Tribolium castaneum: one gene and its partner. The protein of the gene in region 1 interacts with the protein of each later gene in a biochemical or structural test. Links are inferred from orthologs where the notes say so. Each region holds a gene or a part of one and is shown on either strand. Other genes may lie near its edges.

Region 1 (4,487 bases):
TTGCATTCGATAACGGAAGGTTTGAAGAGTCTTCTAGAATTTTCAAAATTGTCAACTGTTTAAATTTATGGCTAGTATGTTTTTTTCAAAATGGTTTTCAAAATACTGCTATAACGCACTTTTTAAATGGAACGACCCTATTTTCTTAACGGCAATCGAAAGAACATCAATATTTATGGTGACTTTTATCAATACATTCTATACTTATTATCTCTTACAGTTTTTGAAAAAACTCACAAGAAACGGATTTTACTTCGTAATTTTTATAGTAATCAAGTAGACCTTGCAAATTCGTCAACAATTGTCAACTTGAACATTTTATTTAATTTTTTGACTGATTTATTAATTATCTAATAAGCAGTAAAATATTAATATTTAATTATGGTTTATTATCATAATTTATGTAAAGTAACTCATTCAGTCTGCCATCGAATTTTGAACTTCTTGAATGAAAACGGTGATCAAATAGAATTTTTTTTTAATTAATAGCACAATTTTATCATATTTTTCGAAAGTTTAGTTGATTAAAAATGAAAATAATTAGGTAAAATTCAATTTCTTGCGATTATTCCAAAATCTGTAAGAGATAGATATACAGGGTGCTCAAAAACTGGCGCACCAACTCAGTGGTACGTTATTGAGAAGCAAGTGCAGATTACGGGAAAAATGTTGAAAAAATTCCTAAAGTCGTATTTTAAAAAATCTGAAGCTACAAACCTATTGTGTTAACTTCTTTAGTTTTCATTATTTTTTTATATTATTATGTTTCATACCAGGTAATCGTTCCGTAACAAAACGATGAACAATTATTTTAAAATTTACTATCAGATTTTAGCAGTTTTTTAAATTTAAAAAAACTAAAATTCATCCAAAAAATCACAATGTGTAGATGTGCCAATACTGGGAATTATTTCCTAGGAAACCGTTTCAAAAATAATTTATTTTTATTGTTGCTCAAATTCTATTGCGATCATGACTATTAGACAACGTTGCCACATATCATTTACCTAAAATTAGTTATTTATCAATAACTTTAATACAAAGAATTTTTTTACTATTTTTACCTTTATATGTAACCACTTCTCTGCCACACACCATTGAGTTGGTGCGTCAGTTTTTGAGCACGCTGTAGAAGACTGTTTTATAATCATTTTTTAAATTATTTATGCACTTCAAAAAATTGATAGATAATGTAATTTATAGTTTCAATAAGAGATCTAATAATTTTATTTTACTGTTTTACTATTTTACAATTTTATCAATCTCATTTAAAAAAATAATTCGGTAAAAAATGCGACGTTGGCGTTTATAGTTTTGAAACAGCTAATACTAACAACTAGGGTATATTTTACTAATTCAAAAATGCAATAAAAATAGGTGGTTACTATTTGAAAATTTAAAGAATCAGCCTGTATGAAATGATCATTTGTGGTATTTCTTTGTTGGCGAAAATGTTTTATTTTTTTAAGGCGTTTAAATAAATTATGCGGAACAGTCGGTGGGCAGTGTTATGTTTTAAAATTTGTTGTTTTAATTATTGTTTTTAAAAGAAAATTTATGTAGAAATCATCCAAAAAATTCAAACCTAATTTCGCGCGACTTTTGGGGAAAATTTGTCGCTTGTGGTTGGTATCTGGGAATCAACAAACAAAAAACGCGCATGCGCATTAACGTCATAAACCGAAGAAGTGCATTTGTTGACGCCATTTTCCGAAAAATAAATCTTAATTGACTCTAAATGGCTAAATCGATTGAAATTAAATAAAACACAATGGAAGAAACAGACGTCTCCATGGAATACGACGGCGCCGACGTCGACGGCGTCGCCCAAGAGGAATACGAAGAGGACGGAGGCTTCGAAAACGACATTGAACTCGGAGATGACTTCCAAATGCGAGGCCGAGGACCTTCAGGGTTCAGGTATTCAAGTTTTAAACCGCCACACTTCCTAACGGTGTGATTACAGGGGCCGCGGACGCGCGTGGCCGGGTCCTCCAGGTCCGCCAGGACCGCGTGGAGAAGGTCCCCGGTTTCGAGGAAGGGGATTTGGGCCCGGTGGCCCTCCTCCGTTTCGTGGACGTGGAGGACCACCTCCTCCGATGTTTGGACGTGGGGGACCTCCCAGAAACCCACCACCAGGGCAGGGATTCAATGGACCTCCGAATTTTAATGGGCCTAACTGGGGAGGACCGATGGGGCCCCCGGGGACGATGGGTGGACCGCCCAATATGATGGGACCCAATGGACCGCCGTTCGGACCACCGGGCATGATGGGGGCGCCCCCGGGTGGACCCATGGGCGCTCAGGGCGGGACGACCAATGGGCAGTTTCCACCAGTAGGGCAAAATCCCACAACAGTAAGTTTTTTCGACGAGATTTTGCGAATTACCATCTTTTTGGAATTCGAATTTTTCAAGTTTATCTGTTCGAGTTATCAAATAATAAATACAGATAAGAATTTCACGTAGGGTTTCTATTGCCTACACTTTGTTTTTCTTGATTTAAAGTCTAGGTATTCCCGGGAAATATCGAATTATTACTAAATCTTAATCAAATAAAGAATTAAACTAGACTTTTCCAAACATTTTCAATAAAGATAAACACTTTCTTAAAATAGACCTGATATAACATTAAATTTTGCGGAAAACATGTCACCAAAAATAAAGTAGAATATAATTTATTTCGTAGTTTAACCCATCGAGAGTTCATCGGACGATCGGAGATTTGATTCTTCGGAATATCCTGATTATCCGTAGTTCATCTTTATGTAAAAATAACATAATTTTTGCTTTTTCCGTGTGCTGAAGCACGTTTGTTTGTCACTTCGATACATATTTTTTTCGAAAAATTGGCTGATCAACATTTCAAATCCAAACTGACATTATTTTGACTTGTATTACTCGATTAACACGTTTATGAACAAACCAAAAAAAAAAAAGGTAAAATAGGATTGAAACAATATATTATTATACGAGTTTTATAAGACGTTCTATTGCGGCACGAATGGTTTTGGAGCACGACGAAGCAGTGCTCCAATAGAATGAGTGTCACAATTAAGTCTTATAAAACGAGTGTAATATACTATTTTCTATTTTTGTTTGTTTCTGTTTAGTTTAACTTATCAAAATCTGTTCAAACTATTTTCTCTTAATTTTGTTAATTGTTCTTTTTCAATAAACGGCTTGACGTTGTTGATAGATCACACTAAATTACAGTGATGACTGATGACACCCAGCGCAGAACTGTCAATATAACTACAAATTTACTAAAAGGAGTTGTACAAAAGTTCTCTTTGTAAAACTAACAAGCGTTCATTTAAGAAGTGCTTTGAAAATAAAAAACAATTGATTACAAATGTTTGTGATTAATTCGTTCTTTTATAACTTTACTTTTTGGCAGTTAAAAAGATAACAGATTTTCATAAAGATATTTATTTATTATTTATAAAAACTTTTGGAAATGTTTTTTTTTGTTGTTTAACACACGTAACACATGGCCTTTGAACACTATTTATCACTCATAGGTTATGATGTTATGAATTTTGGTGAACTCGTGTAGTAGGAAATATCAGGCCATTCGGAGAGTTTTCTTAATAATGAACACATGATACTTTCAGTTTCACAATGAATAATTTGTGAAACCAAAGTAGAAAAAATTTTACCTTTCCAAACTTTTAAGACCTTTAAGCTGGTATTTGAATCAAAATCTCACCGTTTTTTTGCGAGATGTCATTAATACATACAGAAAAATCGCCAAATTACATTATTTTTGCCTTTTGGAGCGTTTTATCTTTTTTTAGCTATAAGCGGAATTACTTCGCAAGCCGAATAAGCACTAAATGGAACCAAAAATTGAGTTATTTTTTCACACTTTCAAATACATTTTTGAGTTACATATTTAGTTTTTTTCTTGTGAGTTTGCTGCACCGTGCTGAAAAATGACTAAATTAATTATTTTATTTAATTTTATAGCCTCGATATTATTTTTCCTCTTTCGTATGTTTTACCACTTTGTAAATAATAATTTATTATTTATCGAAGTTCGACTACAAGAATTCAATTGTAATTGTTTTTTGCAGGGGTTAGATGCAAATAGTGAAATTTGGGTAGAGACTAAAACCTCAGAAGGCAAGTCATATTTTTATAATGCTCGTACTAGAGAAACCACTTGGACTAAGCCAGAAGGTCCTAATGTAAAAGTAATCTCTCAGGATCAAGTGGAAGCAATGGCACAAGCGGCCACCACAGGTTTAGCCCAAGGAACGTCAACTGCAGCTCAGGCGGCGTTAGCGCAGGCTAACGTTTCAAATAAACCTGAAGGTACCTCTAATCCAATTTCTATCCCAAAAAAATTAACGAGAAATTTAGTTGAGTCAGAGGAATCGAAAGGCGATGCCAAACAAGCTGGGAACGCAATGCCTCAAAACATGTTAGCGGGTCCTCCGCCAGGTATGCCCCCATTTGGGGGTCCCCCAGGTCAGTTTGGAG
Region 2 (2,409 bases), on another chromosome or scaffold:
AACATGAGAGAGTTTCTGAGCAGATTTTAGAGTACTATTTGGGCAAAAACCAAAAACTGACTCAGGAAAATTCCGATAAATTTACCAAAATGTTCAGCGACCGTATTTTCCTAATTGATTCCGAAAGTGCAACCAAACTTCAGGCCAAAACCGCCAAATCGCCAGTCTATTATTACTTTTTTACCTATTTTGGAGACTTCAACCAACTCAAAGTTGTAGGTCATGGTGACGATGCCAAGTACTTTTTTGGCAGTGTTTTCGTACCAAGACCTTTGACTGAGAACGAATTGAAAATGAAGGACGTTATGTTGGACATGTTGGTCACTTATGCCAAAACAGGGTACTACCAAATTTTCTGAGGGAAAAAAATTATAGAAAATTTTAGGACTCCGGTCATAAAAGGGGCCGATTGGAGGCCAACTCAAGGAGACCAGTTGACATACCTTGATATTGGAGGTCTTGAAGATGGGGAAATAAAGGTCAAAACGTGTGGTGACCTTAGCGGGGCTAGGGATTTTTGGAATTCTCTGGGGTTAATGGATAGTGAAAATTTTGGTAGTACCAAGGAAGAATTGTAATAATTTTTAAATAAAAAAAATATATATTCATAGAAATTATGTGGTCTCTTACTTACCTTATAAATTTTTACGCACTTTCTTAATAATAATCGATGTTTTTTGGAAGGGCAGTGATATTAGGAAAGAAAACAAAATCCATAATACACATTATATTGAAGAATTAATAATTGATACCAATATTAAATACAATAATGAAATCCCATAATTATTTAACTACCCTACGGTAAATACCACGTGCAATCTTCATATCTCTTACGACGGCGGCGGTGGCGGCGGCGTCGTCAACAAGCTATTAACATCAATCCCTGGTGGCGGCGGTGGCGGACAACTCCCCGGCGGCCACGTGAACGCCGCCGCTTGCCACGGCATAGTCCCATTCGTCGTACTTGCCCCAGGCGGCGGCGGCTGATTATTCGCCCCCATCCATTGCATCATCTGTGGCGGACTGGAGGCTCCTGGCGGCGGTGGCGGCGGCATAATGCCCGGCGGTCCCGGCTGCCAACTCATATTCTGTGCCGCTACCGTCCACGGAGGCGGCGCCATACCATTCATACACTGAAGCGCAGTAGGCGTCGGCATCGGAGGCGGCATCAATGGGCGTGGCGTCATCGGCGAATCAAACAAATTAAAACTCGATTTACGCGTCGTCGTCGTGGTGGTGGTGGTAGCGACCGCCTCCGGGGGCGGCGCCTCACCCAACTCCGCCATCAACGACATGTACTCCTCGTCGATTTTGTTCTTTTCGCCGCCGGGGACAGGGGGGCCCCCGGCGCCGGGACGCTTCTGACGACAGTCGCGTGCGATATGGCCGGCAGCCCCACAACTCGAACAGACAATGTTGTTGGTGACGTTTGGTTTATCGGGGCACTAAAAAAAAATAATAATAATAATTTGGTGTTTTTTTTGCAAGGTTTAGGTTGGTATTACCAGCCAAGATTTGTGGTCAGTGGCGCCACAGTTGTTACAACGCATTCCGTCATTTTCGCGCAATGTGCCGTTCAGTTGTGCCAACTCACGCAATTGCATTCGGCGAAGGTCGTTTTGGTTTTCGGGGACTTCCACTCCCTGACGTATAACCTCCTTGATCTGTCATAAGAGAAAAAAAAACAAGTTACGTTACCATGCCAATAAACAGGCGTTGCTATGGCAATAACTGGCGTTACTATGGCAATAACTGGCGTTACTATGACAATAACTGGCGTTACTATGGCAATAACTGGCGTTACTATGACAATAACTGGCGTTACCATGGCAATAACTGACGTTACTATGGCAATAACTGGCGTTACTATGACAATAACTTTCGTTACTATGACAACTGAAGTTACTATGGCAACAAATGTCAAACTCACCCGTTCCACGGCCTTCTTGACGCATTCAGGATTCGTGGCCGTGATGTAGGCATGCAAGGGTTCATCCTCACCGGGAAGTGGTTGTCCGTCTTTTCGTCCAACTTTACCCTCTTTGACACTTCCCTTACCCCTGATAATAATTTTAGCCCCAGTTTCTTTCTCCATTGCTGCGAAAAAATCAATAAAAAATTGCAAAAAAATGATAAAATAATACTAACTTTTTAACGTATTCCCCCTTGGACCAATCAACAAACCTACAAAATTAATCTCAGGATGTTCCTCTTGCGGTATCATAACTTTATCACTTACACGAACCACAGGGGGTCTACAACTGTAACAAATAATTCAATTAAAGGAAAAAATTAAACAAAGGGTCAAAAAATGTGTCAATTATTAAATAAAAAAAAATTACTTGTAATCCATAGGCGGTTTGAAATCTGGGTTGATCTGTTGCATTTTCAAAATGAGCGAATGTCTTT

What was found.
Region 2: the proteins of transcription elongation regulator 1 (region 1) and SF1 form a complex in vitro, tested with the Homo sapiens proteins (3 studies listed by BioGRID). The link is inferred for Tribolium castaneum from reciprocal best matches to the Homo sapiens genes TCERG1 and SF1.

The regions. Positions count from the first base shown.
Region 1 is NC_087397.1:11,590,817-11,595,303, forward strand, and holds the start of transcription elongation regulator 1, read left to right. Parts: upstream 1-1,658; 5' UTR 1,659-1,771; coding exon 1,772-1,920; intron 1,921-1,966; coding exon 1,967-2,357; intron 2,358-4,078; coding exon 4,079-4,319; intron 4,320-4,367; coding exon 4,368-4,487. UniProt on the Homo sapiens protein: Transcription factor that binds RNA polymerase II and inhibits the elongation of transcripts from target promoters. Regulates transcription elongation in a TATA box-dependent manner.
Region 2 is NC_087400.1:3,267,555-3,269,963, reverse strand, and holds the end of SF1 (splicing factor 1), read right to left. Parts: coding exon 2,343-2,409; intron 2,262-2,342; coding exon 2,149-2,261; intron 2,098-2,148; coding exon 1,931-2,097; intron 1,665-1,930; coding exon 1,506-1,664; intron 1,446-1,505; coding exon 831-1,445; 3' UTR 713-830; downstream 1-712. Other genes in the region: uncharacterized protein LOC659501, read left to right, coding at 1-340, 386-578. UniProt on the Homo sapiens protein: Necessary for the ATP-dependent first step of spliceosome assembly. Binds to the intron branch point sequence (BPS) 5'-UACUAAC-3' of the pre-mRNA. May act as transcription repressor.